Solanum lycopersicum: one gene and its partners. Each later gene encodes a partner of the first gene's protein in a complex. Links are inferred from orthologs where the notes say so. Each region holds a gene or a part of one and is shown on either strand. Other genes may lie near its edges.

Region 1 (6,396 bases):
AAAGATTAGAGATAATACACAAGTACTTTCTCAACTTATGTCTGAAATTCAGAAACACACTTATATTATACTAAGGTCTTATTACCCCTGAACTTGTTTTATTAATAAATTTCGACTCCTTTTCGGTCTACGTGGCACTATCTTGTGGGCTCAACTTGGTTGACTTTTTTTTTCAAGCTAGTGCCATGTAGGTCGAAAAGGGGTAGAAAATTACTTATAAATAAGTTCAGGGGTAATAGGACCTTAGTAAAGTATAAATGTGTCTCTCGGATTTCGGGCATAGGTTGAGGGGGTACTCTTGCATTTTCCCAAAAGATTATGTAAATATACGTGAACTTATGCTCCTCTTCTGAATCATACATTGTGATGTTATATTTTTAAAGAAATATTTAAATATAAATATTTGAATTCACACTCAAAAAATCATATTGCAATGCTATGTTGATCGGATGCACCTCTCCAAGTGAGATTAAAAATTTGAATCTTATATCTATCTTGTCTTAGATTAAAACCTCTCTAAGTGATTATCGGTAGCACTTTATATGTATAAGCTTTGATCTTTCAAAATTTTCAAGTTTGTAAAATTGGAAATTCCTTTTTTTGGCATTGTAATTTTATATAATTAAACCAAATATGTAAATTAAAACTAGCAATACTGGATGATATAACACACAACCAATGGGTTCAGTCCAGTGGCGCAGCCACATATATGGATACCCCTTCCTCGAAAATGTACATCGTGTGGCTGGGTAAAGATATTTTTAATGTGTGTGTATATATATATATATATATTACATTACTGACATTCCTTGATGTCTACATGATTTTACTTATTCATATTTTGACACCCCTTCGTTGAAATTTTGACTCCATCACTGATCTAATAGTTTTTATATACACGCGCGCACACACTATTTGAATAGATAAAAATTATTGGATCAGTAATTTAATAATTTTAACGATTTTTAATGTAAGAACTTAAATGTAAAACCGATCAAATATATATACTAGATCAACATTTTCATAATAATACACTCATCATCTCAAAATTCTAAATTTGCCTATAAATTGAATATATGATTTTCGTATAAAGTGTTTTACTGAACTCGTACACGACTAAACTAGTTGTTACATTCATGTTTAATTGTTTGGGATGTGTTTGATGAATTTGGGATGAGATAAGAAAATGAATTGATTTTTAATTTGTATATAATAAAGGAAAAGGGGATAAATATACCCTTAAATTATCGTAAATGATATGTTGATTCTGTTATTGCACGAATTATATACACGACAATACTTAATTTATTACAATTTAATTTATAAATGCATAGAGTTTCTTTTAATTCCCAATCTAAGCATATTTTAACTAGGAAAAAAACATACTCTCCTAGTCCACTTTTATTGTCATGTTGCGCTTTTCGAAAGTTAACTTATCTAATTTTTGAAGTTAAATTAAATTACGTTAATTCAATTTTTTTTTAAAAAATAGATATTTAAAAATTATACAAAAAGTAATATAAATTACAATTTTTACATATCACTATGATAAAAATATTAATCAAAATTCTTATACCTTGATTCTTAAAAAAGAAAGTCATGAAAATTAATTATGGACGGAGAAAATAGTAGTTAATCATAATAAAAATTGTCAACGATCCTCGTCAAAATGCTAATCTCGTTGACTAGTTAATTTTCCCGGTCAGCCACCCCCCTCAAACCCCAATCCCAAAAAATTTAATTTTGTTATTTAAAAATACAAACAACTTTAAATTTTTATTTTTTCACTCTTACCCCCTCCCCCTCGCATTACCCCCACCCATACCTCACCCCATAAAATAGTAATTTTGTTTTTAAAAAATATTTTAAATTTAATAAATTATTTTTTACTCTAGTATCAAAAACATTTTTCATTCATAAATCGAACACTATAAATCATTTTCGGAAAATATTTTCTACTCACTTACAAAACATGAGGAAATAATTTCAAACTCTACTTGTTTTTCACGAAAACATTTTTTAGGAAAATATATTTTCCATGAGAAAATACTTTTATCACTATTCAAATCATTTATTTTTTTTTAAATAAAAACTTTTTATATACTACACAATGCTAAAATAAAATCACTATATTAAACATAAATTTTTTTTTCTTAAACTAGCTTAAAACTAGTGAATGGGCCAAGAGATATTGAGTCAATGGCGGCTGGACACGTTGGTAATAGTCAGATATTACTAAAAAAATTTATTACTATGTATGAAATGTATAATATAAAGTCTTTGGGAGTTTTATTTTCTTATTTATACATACACTCAAGAAATCTAGGCGCAATTGTGATTTTTCATCGTTGATCGAAGCCAGAAATTGTGATTATTGATTGTGGATTAAGGAATTTTGGTGCGGAGTTGAAATGGATGGGAATAATTGGAGGGCCGCTCAGGCTCAGGCTCCGGGAGGTGGTGAAGGTGGTGGAGCGGCTGCCGGAGCTATGGAGTCCGGTGATTGGAGGACTCAACTTATGCCCGATTCGCGTCAAAGAATTGTGAATAAGATGTAAGTTTTTTTTTTTTTTAATTTTTGGTTTTGCGACTTGTTCTTGTTTTTTTTTTTATATTTCTGGAATTTTGAATTTTAGGGTTTTTTTTTTGTGTTTTATCGGTTATCTGAAGAAATCCGATTTCGTTAGAAGTATTGATTAATCAATCTGATACATATTTTTTTTCAGTGTCGTTCTGTTTTATGGAAACTTACTTTATTAGGTGAATTTTGGGGGGTTTTTTGTTAATGGTATTGGGTGAGTTAATTGGAATTTTGTGCCCTAGTTATTACCAATTTTGGTAATTAGTCAAGGGGTAACATATGCTTACACTCTGACCCCATGTGTGGGATTACACTAGGTATGTTTTGTTGTTGGGGGTGGGGGTGGTGTTGTGGTGGATCAGTCAAGGAACTAGTTCAAGTGGGAAAACCTAGTTTTACTCACTGTGCTTTATATTTTGTTTTAGATATGTCGAAATGGTTGGCTGTTGTTCGCGATAATTGGATAATAACTACTTATATTTGCTCAGAGGAAATAAGTTTTAGTCTTTTGTAGCAGGGTATGATGTCAAATTATTGTTAATATATTTGAGAAGCATTTATCTAGATTTTGATCTTATCAAGACTTTGTTCTTGATATGTCAAAATGACAGGTTGTCACTGGAGATAATTGGATTATAATTGCTGATATTTGTTTAAAGGAAACAACTTTTACTCTTTTGTAGCAGGGCGTGATGTCGAATTATTTTTAATATATTTGAGAAGTATTTATCTAGATTGTGCTTTTATCAAGAGTTCAGGTTGATCTTTTGTTGATATGATTATATAGAATGGAGACCTTAAAGAGGCATCTTCCTGTTTCTGGGCAAGAAGGAGTACAGGAGCTTAAGAAAATTGCTGTAAGGTTTGAAGAAAAGATCTATTCTGCTGCTACAAGTCAGGTATGTAGTCTAAACTTGTTTCTTATTTGTTCAAATTGTAAAGCTAGCTCATAAACCACCCCTGCCTTTAAAATCCGATATTAGACTTTTGATGCAATTTTGTTTTCAAGACCATATAAGGGAATCACTCATCCCTTTTTCATCCAATGTGTGATTCTTGTTTCAATTTGTTATCCGAGACCATATATCCTTTTTCATCCGATTTGAGACTCTTGATGCAACTTGTTCTCCAAAACCATACAACCATCCATTTATCTGATGATGGATTCTTCTACATAAATGATTCAATTTGTTCTCCTTATCATTGATGTTATTCCTGCTTGTATAAACTTGCATCTAGACACGTTGTATTAGGGATGGCAAGAGGACCAGGTACAGTGCGGTTGCAGGCCAAATCCGCATAATCCTGCGAAGATTTTGACCCCCCACCCATATCATTATGTTTATGTTGATTTTCGTACTCCTAAAGGAAAACATGAATTACCATTTTAGCAATTTTACCAAGACATGGCTGACATTAAAAATAATAATTGGATATTCTTATATTTGCTCTCATCAAGGTTCTTATAACAGGGAAATGGAAGAGCCTGATAGTATATATCAGTTCATCTTAAGCATGTGATTTGTAAATCTTATTTAATTGGTAATTTGTGTAAGTAAAATTACCTATTACAGTGATGTCACAAACAAAAAAAGGGTTAATTCTGCATATTGACATGTTTTTCTCACACGTAAATATTATAGTATCATATTAATTATTATTCCCCAAGAGTGCTCACTATATATATATATATATATATATATATATATATATTTTGATAACCGAGAAATCCGTCTGTGACCCGCCACCCTTTGGACCAATCACAGTCTTCTAAACTAGGTGAATAATGGGCCTGGAGAAATCCGTCTGTGACCCGCCACACTTTTGACCAATCACAATCTTCTAAACTAGGTGAATAATGGGCCTAGAGAAATCCGTCTGTGACCCGCCACCCTTTGGACCAATCACAGTCTTCTAAACTCGGTGGATAATGGGCCCGGCCCTCTACCCTTCTCCACTTAAATACTTAGCGTCGCTTTGCAAGTTTGCATGGTGGGGCTTGAACCTGCAACCTAAGTTACAAATCCTCCACCTTTTGCCGCTTGAGCTAGGCCTTGGGGGCAGTGCTCACTATATATTTGTCAACGCAAAATGGATAGTAATAAGTTATATGGAATTAAATAAAATAATTTCATATTTGAGTAACCGACATAGATTCACAAAATCTACTTTTACACTAATTTTTATACTGACTACCACAAAAAAATAATTTAGATCTAATTTGAATGTCTTTGCATGCCTAAGCAACCTCCACAAAGTAGGTTTAAGGTTTGTGTAAACTCCATCCTCCCCACTCTATCCTCCCAGATCTGGTTGCACGCCTAAGGAAAGAACTTAATTTCTTTTTTTGTTCTTGTTCAAATCGCTGCTTGGAGATTCTTTACTTCAGTAGAGGCCTGAAGGTTTATCGAAAACAATCTCTCTATCTTTATGAGGTAGTGGTAAGGTCTTTGTACATTCCTCACCCTCCCCAGACTCACTTGTAGGAGTTACACTGGATACGTTGTTGTTTAAACCCCCTTCATAGTTCTGCAACCCGCCTTATGCTGCATCAGTGTTTTTTAAAAAGTATTTGAACTCGCCCTGCATAGCCTACCCTCAGTTTGCCAACCCTATGTTGTATGTGTTTTAACTTATATTTATCTAATATTGCAGCAAGATTATCTTCGGAAGATATCTTTAAAGATGCTGACCATGGAGACAAAATCTCAACCTCCTATGACCAATTCTGTTCAGCCAAATCCTGCTAGTAGTGGTCAGAATGCCCTTGGTCCAGGTGAACAATGAAATCTCATGTGCTCTATTTCAAATAGGGAAAACTTGTATGACAGGACGTTTTGTGTAAACCTAATTACTTCGTTCTGCTGTTGAAAAGTTTGTTCTCTGTAGCTAATAAGTGTAAAGGAAATTTTAGATGCTTGAACCATTGTGCTAATCTTTGAGTGATCTATAATTTTGGTGACTAGCCCTAATAAGTATTGTTTGTGCTCTAGGTCAGAGTCCTAGCCCTGCTCTTTCTCTATATCCAGACTATTCTTGTTGTTTATTTGTCTAATAAGTAACTTAGTCAAACTTCTCTTTTGTATTTTCGAATCAGTTTTCACAAAGCTATGACTTCTGTTTCTTGTATCTTAAACTAAAAAATACGTGTTTACTTTTGCTGCTTGTTTGTATTTTATTTTAATGTTATTATGTTTGCTGGTTATTTGATAGCATCTTGACTGGCTTCTTTTTTATTCATTTCTGTAGGATCGCACAGTATGCAATCCCAAGTCAACAGCCAAGCACAGCAACTTCCTGTACCTATGGTGGCCAATCAAACTCAAACACGACAACCACTGTTGCAGCAAAACCTTCAGAACAATATGGCATCGACTGGGCTGCAAAATTCTGCTAGCTTGGCTCCTTCACTTCCTTCTGTGAGTAATTTGACGCAGGGTACCATGCCAAATGTCGTGGGCCAGAATTCAAATTTGCAAACCATGCAAAACATGCCAAATGTTGGTCAAAACTTGGTAGGAAATGCCATTGGGCAAGGCATGCCTCCTAATATGGTTGCTAATTCTCAGAGGCAGATGCAGGGAAGACAACAACAGGTTGTTTCTCAACAGCAACAGCAGCAGTCCCAGACAACACAGCAATATATGTACCAGCAGCAACTGCATCAACATCAAATGATGAAGCAGAAATTTCAGCCGGGAAGCACATCACAGTCCTTGATGCAATCTCACATGCAGCAACAGCAGCAGCCGCAGGAGCAGCAGCAACAACTACCGCAGCAGCAACAAAACCTTCTACAACCTACTCAGACACAA
Region 2 (3,956 bases), on another chromosome or scaffold:
ATTCAATTTTAGGACATCAGAGCCCTTTCAACTCAAGATTTAAAAATTGTAAGCAAATCGTTTAAACACCATAAGCGAAAAATCAAACTTAAAGTAATAGCTGCCCCAATCCATTGGTTTAGGCAAAACCACCGGAATGCTATAATTGAATGTGTTATGAGCGACAATACAAATACATTTAGAATCAGAATCCTGCAACATTTTCTACATTTAGTATAACTAGCATAAACTCCCTTAACATACTACTAGTCACTAGAATTCATATCATAATCTTCGAAACTGCCCAACTTTTACTGGCAATTGCCATTAGAATCAGTAGTAATTGATTGAAAATCTATTAAATTTTCCACGCTTCTGCATTTCTCCACAACAGTTCCTTTATTTTTTATCTTTTTATTTTCGATAAGTAACAGGTCCATGACTAATTTAACCATACTTTGGCATTGATAAATGTATTAAGTCAGTGTTTTTAATAAGGTTCAGCAATAAAGCACGGCAGTGATGTTCTAGATCTTTCTTTTTTTGGGATAAGTATCATACTAGACCAAAATGGGCATTATTCTTCCTAGACTAACAGGCATTTTTCTTCCTAGACTAAAGTGGGGCACAAAGTATAGTTGTACTTGAATTTATATCATACATAAAACATATATAGTTGTTGATGTCAAGGACACCAAGAGGACTGCCAAAATATGATGCTAAAATGTTCTTTCAGTCCGGAAGATGTCTCACCTGCTCCTTTTTTCTCAAACAAACAGATTCCTATTTACACATTTTATCAGTATGCTTGTACATGATATTTTAACATGGTTCTAATAATATCACATATACATACCTCTCCATGCAATGGTTCCCCAAGCACACTAGAATATGTAATTGGTGAATATCTCATGTTAGCAACTGCTTCACCAGACGAATTTGCAGAGGCTTGAGGAAGAAGTCGAGCGGTCCCAAATGTAGGGCAGTGAAGGTGCTGATCCAACATTTGCATATGCATAGCCATCATATCTCGCCTCCGATGGATCTCCAAAATAAGAGTGAACAGAGCTTCATCATCTGGTATATTTTCTAAAAACTGCAACCCACTCCGGAGAAGTTCATAAAACGGTATACGGCATTTATCATTCTCAACCAGCAACCAAATAACATCTAAACAACTGTGTAGCCACTTAATTAGGGCCTTATCTGGTTTCCAATATTTCGTACTGTCTAATTCATCAATACCATGTAACTTTTGGTCCCAATTAATCAACCAATTCAACATATGGTGGAGAACTTCGGCATGTGTTACTGGCTTAAGATTAGAATCTAGACCAGTTAAAATAATTTTGCAACATAACTGACGCAGACTGCTTGTAGCATTATCATTTAACAACAAATTCACTTTTGCAACAGACTGTTGGCTAGTACCATTAACATCAGAAGACTTCATGGGAGACAAAGCAGCAGAAGATGAGGGTTCAGCTGCTGAATGAAGAGGGGACCCAATACCATGGACAGCGGGCAAAGGAGATGCAGGATTTGATGAGTGAAAAATGGAGGTAGACGCTACTGTGGTGGAAGAAGGGAGCAATCCAGATGTTAAATTAGCAGAAGAGACAGCAGCAGATGGTAGATTAGCCTGGCTAGCGGATATCTCAGTTGATGAAACGGAGGAAAGAAGAGAAGGCAAGAAAGAATCCCAGTTTATGAATCCTATACTAGACAAACTACATATGGCAAATTGAATAAATTCTGCACGAGGTGCGTGACTACTGCAATGAATAACGAGGGAAATAAGAACAGATTCTGCCACTGCACTTAGCTGTTCCTTGTCCTGGAATAACATGTCAGCATGCGTCATTACACAGAAGATAAACAAAAGCAAAGATGTAACATTTCCAAGTGAAAAACTTACAGTAAACTGGCTCTGCAGCTGTCCAAAATCTAAGAGAAATTGCTCATTTCGTGGAGGAAGCTCTCTGTTAAGAGCAGTTACTCTCTTCTGTGTCTTGTTCCTGTATATCTCTAACGAATCATAAGACTTTTCTTCTTCTTTTTTTATTCTTTGGGTCAGTGCAATGAAACATATGACTTTAGGCATCATAAAGCACAAGTTTGAAATGAAAAGAGAAGTGAAGCATGCATAAACTGAATGTAGATAGCTGATAAGAATTATGTGTCGAAATCAATTGCTGATAAATTTCAATTTCAGTAATTATTAATAAAAGAAGAGTAGACTTACGGTGGTTCTCTGATAGAATCATCTGATTTTTGTCCAGAATTTTTCTGCCAAAGAGAAAAAAAATAATATAATTTATATTTACAGAAGAAGGGGTTTGAAATTAAAATTGATTACCAGTCCTAAGTATAAATTGAAGAGATCAAGGATGGCAGGTCGAGAGGGATGAAACTGTTGGTGGGACCGAGACCTCAACTGGTGTGTGTTGTTATGCTCCATTTCTCCGCTGCTTGGAGTGGAAACGGGAACTCGCAGCATACTTTTCTTCTTTTCCCCTTCCGATTTAGACTTAGACTAGACAGTCCAAAATTAACTGCAAATATAAAAGACCAAGGAATATATGCTCCACGAGTTTCCCCTGAAAATTATGTCTTTTTTATCACATTGGTCAAATTTATTTCAAGTAAATTTCGATCAAAACTAATAATTATAAAAATTTTATAAAATATAAAAAAACACTTCGTTTTTTAACTTTTATAATTCAATCCAAATAATTTTAAAAAAAAAAAAAAATCTTTCTTCTTCTTCTTCTTCTTTCAACTTTCTCTCTTTTTTGTTCTTCTTCTTCCTTAGAAATCCAACTATCAAAACAAATATTCTCTCTATTATCTTCCTCCTCATCTCTGGTCCTGAATCTCTCCTCTTACTAAACTGAACTCGTGCGACTTAAAATGGATAAGTCATTAATTAAAAAAAAATTACAAATTTCGAACAATACTAAATTTTTTGTTAGATTAATGAACAGTAAATCGTTCTATAGATGTGAAAATTGAATAATGATGTAATGGTACCTATTATTTATTGTTTTTGAAAGAAATTCAACAAACCCAAAAAAACTTAATTTTGAGGAAATGTATATGTATTGTTAATATTCGGTGAAAAGTCATTCTTTGTTGCTTTTGTTAGTCTTTTTGTGACCATTTTGTTGATATAATTTTAGAAATATAGTCTTGTTAAGTTGTTCAACATATATTTTATTTGTTGAGGGATGTAGCCTATGTTGCCACATGTTAGTGATATATTGGTGCATATTCCAAAGAGTTGTCATATGTTGGAACATCTCACCTATGCGTTAGGGCAACAAAATGGTGATATGTGGCAACAGAACATTTATCTGTGGCAATACAAGATCCATTTGTGGCAACAATAGGTACATTTGTGGCAACAGTGTTACAACACTTAAAATGAAATAGGACTAACTAGAACCTATCATGGGTTCTCTGAGTTAATAAGGTGTTAAATGATGAATAATAGCTTTAGGAGACGTTTAAACAGTTTGGAAGTCGAACTTCAAACCTTTAATTCTTTCAATTCAGTCAGAGTCATCCGGTAAGGAGGAATTGAAATGGGTTTCGTTTCCGGCAACAAATCTATGCTGAAATTTATTTCCCGTTAATGAGGAATTGCGGGCAAATCATCGGGAAGGACTTTCAGAAATTCCTTCACTACGGGTACCGACTCTAAAGGAGGAGCTTCAGACCCAAGGTCTTTGACCCTCACAATATGGTAGAGACATCCGTTATAATCATCTTACAAGCTTTTAAACTCTAAATGATTTAACCTCTAGGGATTGAGTTTCCCCCCTTCCATTCTAAAATGTGTTCATTAGGCAATTGGAATTTAACTACCCTTTTATTACAAACAATAGAAGCAAAACAAGCATGTAATCAATCGATCCCCAATACGACATGAAAGTCCAACATATCAAGTTATACCAAATCGACCAATGTAACTC
Region 3 (4,147 bases), on another chromosome or scaffold:
CCGCGAGCAGCATATAGCAGGTGTCCGGCGATGACCAATTTTTTGAATCTAGCAGTAACTTCTGTACAAAAGAAGTGAAAAAAAAATAAAACAGTTTCTTAAGATTGAATACGTTGCTCTTTTGACATCTCTAACACCTCACCGATTTAATTGTATGGTTGAAGTTATAGCAGCAGAGTCATGTAGAACAGGGACTCTGCCATGTACATAGGTCAGCAAGAAGATCTCGAAGCTGGTCAATCAGAAGTTTGAGATGCTTGTTCTTGTCTACAAGCTCCTGCAATTTGTAAGAACAATAGAATATGCTTTAAATCTTGATCACAATAGCAACTTGATTTTTCACTACCGTAAGATAATAGAAAACTATTAGGCATGCACTCAAGTACGATAAAACTCTACCTTCACTTGAGGACTTCTTATTGCCACTAGGGGGAGACATAAAGCAAATGAAACAGGATTTGACTAATTTTAACGCAATAGGAATAAAATTAATAATAATACAGTATGTACAACAAGCAGAGGATGTTGAAACCAAGTTTTCATATGTTATCACAAAATCATATTGTTCTGATTTGAGGTTGTGACAAATATCGAGACTTGAGAAAGTTTGTACAGTAAGACATTTTGTCATGTGTCCGGAATGAAAATGTAACATGTAGTATACCTCAATATTGTTTTAATGGATAAGAAATTACTCAATGGATCAAGGAAGACATCAGTCAAGGTTCAAATATTGGCACACACATTTGCTTCACCAAACCCACCCATCATGCATCCCAAAAACCAACAAAAATCCAAGGAAATTCTAATATGTCAAAATTTGATATGTTATCAATACCTTCTTTAATGAAGAGGCCCGGTCTTCCAGCTGCTCAATTTCCGCTTGATCTGCTGCAGATAGTGAACCACTAGCAGAAGCAGCTTCCAATGCTTTTGCCTAGCTAACAAAGCCAGTAATGAGTGTGAAGTATCATACAATAAGTTAACAACTTTCCAAAATGTACAAGAAAATATAACTTGTTAATCATGAGAATTGAGACAACAGAAAGGAGAGTTTGACAACTTCCAGTTAAAACGGAGCAAATACTTGCACAACTCTTAAGAAAGAAGTTACTAAAAGAACTCATTTAATGTGTAGTCGGACATATGTTGAGCAACAAAAATGCACTCAACATCAGTGATTTATTTGTTCATACTGACAAACAAAATTCTTACTGCTTAACCAGATTCTCTCCAATGCACAAATGTTAAGGCAATCCATACACCAACACCAAGGACTTGAGATGTGATTATAGTGCTAATTCTTTCTTGAAAAGGATAACACGCAGTAGTTTATCTTGGTATAAACACTTATACCTCATGTGCGTTTAAACAGCAGAAACAAGAACAACCTCGAAAACATAGTTAAATATCTTCCCCCATCCCCAGCCCCCAACAGCCACCCACAAACCCAGAAGAATATAAGACAAATCAGAAAAAGAGTAAGCAGCACAGTTGAGCTTCATCAACTGATGACGAGGGATGATCAAACGACTGAATATTATATTCATAGTGAAGAAATATTATCCCCATGTCTAGAACATCAAAATATACAATTGCCATGTGCAAATGTTGCTCATATTGGTAAGGGCAAATTGTGCTAGTATATAACCACATGATGTCTTTCCCATATCAATCACCAAAACTGTTTAACCCCTTGTTTTGTGATTAAGATCAATCACCAAACACTTTTCACACTGAATTTACCTTTATCGCTAGATAATGTCTTTTTTTTTCTGCTCAAACTGGATAATGTTTTTCTCTCCTACAGTACTCCGAAGGAACTACATTTCTAGAATATCTATTTGAGTTTCATTCCCAATCAAAACTACCATCTAACAGAACACCAACACCACCTATGGCTCAACACAAGCTGGTTGGTGGTGGAAGTATACGAATCCTCCATATCCATATGGAACCACTTCACTCCAGTATCAAATAGTTTTAACCTTTGGAACCTCTAAAACTAGAGGTTATCTACGTTGGATCCAAATCTTTGCGGTCACGTTGAACTACCTTTGGCATTGAACAAAGCCCCAGTCTTTTACACATTTTCTGTTTAATGGACTTCACTAGAAGTGATTCATTCATATAGCTGAACCGAACTAGTTTATGATCAAGCCATTGTTGATTCATGATTACATCAAACTAACTTTTCCTGAGATCACTATCTTAAATTACAGATATCACACAATTACAAAAATGTTTTAAAAAATTGCATTTTTATACGTAAAATTACCTTTTGGGAATTAGAAATTGCAGTAAGAACAGAACGCAAGGAAGCAATAGAGGACTTATAACGCAGACGAGATTCATCAAGAGCACCACCACCAATATCCAAATGCTGAGCTGAAGCAGAAGAAGACGAAGAAGTATCAGACGAAATGTCGCCGTTTGTATGGTGCTGCTGTCCATTACTCAAAACACCACTAGCACCAACTCCTCCACCGGCCACCGCCACCGCAGAAGAAGCAGCAGCTGTATTTAGAGTGGACCAAAGTGATGGATTACAGAGTTCATCGTTCATGGCGGAGAGAATTTGATGTGCTGCTTCTATTGTATCTTCTAAATGCTTTTGCCCTTCTACTGCTAGTTCTTGTATGGTTTTAGGGCTTGTAATTGTGCCTTTATCCTCCATACCGGGTAATGTCACCGGCTTGTCAAAACCCTAGATCGACGGCGGCGGTAGTGGTGGCGATCGGCGGTGCGAGAAGTTGTAAGGAGAATTAATTTAAGCATAAAATGACGTCGTTTTATGCGTGGCGTGTACTTTTTGGGCCGGGTAAGGAGCTATGTATTACTGGATCAAGCCCAAAATCAAGTTACTTGGGTCAAAATTCAAGGAAAAATTATATAAATTAATACATTTTAATAAATAATTACTGATTTTAGCGATACTTTTTATTTATTGTCATTTATAGCAATATTATGTAAAATCTGCAATATGAATTAAAAGTGAATTATGTATGCAATGTACGTGAATTATAAGTTGTTTTTTGAAATATATTAAGTTTGTTTACTAAATTTGACACATTCTATTATAAATGTATTAAAATGTGTGAAAAACGTATTATCCATCGTTAAAATTTGTATTATATGTAATATTAAATTGTTATTTATAATATGTATAAAACTTGTATTATAAATAAATTAAAACTGATTAAGTAATTTTTTTTTATTATTGCTATAAATGGTAAATATTTTTTTAATTATAGTACGTGTATATAAGTTCCCCGAAATTCAATGGGGGAAAGAAGTGCACAAATATCTGTGTTTAACGTTGCAGAAAAATTACCAGATTACATAAACATTCCTATCATATTTACTACGTAGTTTTTTTTTCATAATTTTGAAAAGTTACGCATCGTCTTCTAATTAGTAATTTCATACTAGATGTCAAGTCATATAGACCTAGATGCATGTAATATACTACTATATACACTTTAAAATATAAACTTATAGAAAAAAAGACGAGTGAAAAAGACGTAAAGTGAATGAGAGAGAGTCTATGTATCGCAAATAGATGCAAACTAAAAAAAGTGTGATTCCAATTAAAATTAAAAAGCGAAAGAAGAAATGTTTAAAAACTTCCATTTGAGATTTTGAAAGAAACAAATCAAAGATTCCTTTTTTTTTATTCAACGTGCCATTAATACCTAATTAAAAAAAGACAACACCATTCGAATCGATAATTAGTCTTATTGTGCATTTTAATAATAGAAATTAAAATATTATATATATATAATATTCTTTCTATTTCATTTTATAAGACACTTTTCAGATTTTAAAATTCAAATAAATTTATTTTATAAAAAGGAAAAAATGACAAATATATTCTCGAACTACCGTAAATGATATGCAGATACCTTCAGTCATTATTTTGGGACATTGATGTCTCTGTCGTTCATAAATTAGAGCATATATGCCCTTCACTCTAACGAAGGGACAGGGGTACCAATGTCTCCAAAGTATGACGGTAGGAGCACCAATGTCCCAAAAGTACGACGACAGGGGCACCAATGTCCCAAAAGTATGACGACAAGGGCACTAATGTCCCAAAAGTATGACGAATGGTATTTGCGTACCATTTACAATAGTTTGGGATGTA

What was found. The genes of interacting proteins can lie anywhere in the genome.
Region 2: mediator of RNA polymerase II transcription subunit 15a (region 1) and mediator of RNA polymerase II transcription subunit 23 share a complex: the UniProt entries of both Arabidopsis thaliana proteins name them as parts of the mediator complex. The link is inferred for Solanum lycopersicum from reciprocal best matches to the Arabidopsis thaliana genes NRB4 and AT1G23230.
Region 3: mediator of RNA polymerase II transcription subunit 15a (region 1) and mediator of RNA polymerase II transcription subunit 30 share a complex: the UniProt entries of both Arabidopsis thaliana proteins name them as parts of the mediator complex. The link is inferred for Solanum lycopersicum from reciprocal best matches to the Arabidopsis thaliana genes NRB4 and AT5G63480.

Annotation. Positions count from the first base shown.
Region 1 is NC_090803.1:3,490,013-3,496,408, forward strand, and holds the start of mediator of RNA polymerase II transcription subunit 15a, read left to right. Parts: upstream 1-2,253; 5' UTR 2,254-2,411; coding exon 2,412-2,554; intron 2,555-3,368; coding exon 3,369-3,480; intron 3,481-5,236; coding exon 5,237-5,357; intron 5,358-5,830; coding exon 5,831-6,396. UniProt on the Arabidopsis thaliana protein: Component of the Mediator complex, a coactivator involved in the regulated transcription of nearly all RNA polymerase II-dependent genes.
Region 2 is NC_090804.1:17,771,162-17,775,117, forward strand, and holds the start of mediator of RNA polymerase II transcription subunit 23, read right to left. Parts: upstream 2,801-3,956; 5' UTR 2,480-2,800; coding exon 2,339-2,479; intron 2,269-2,338; coding exon 2,225-2,268; intron 1,998-2,224; coding exon 1,898-1,997; intron 1,817-1,897; coding exon 836-1,816; intron 1-835. UniProt on the Arabidopsis thaliana protein: Component of the Mediator complex, a coactivator involved in the regulated transcription of nearly all RNA polymerase II-dependent genes.
Region 3 is NC_090807.1:2,029,146-2,033,292, forward strand, and holds the start of mediator of RNA polymerase II transcription subunit 30, read right to left. Parts: upstream 2,801-4,147; 5' UTR 2,678-2,800; coding exon 2,279-2,677; intron 938-2,278; coding exon 839-937; intron 278-838; coding exon 179-277; 3' UTR 143-178; intron 62-142; 3' UTR 1-61. UniProt on the Arabidopsis thaliana protein: Component of the Mediator complex, a coactivator involved in the regulated transcription of nearly all RNA polymerase II-dependent genes.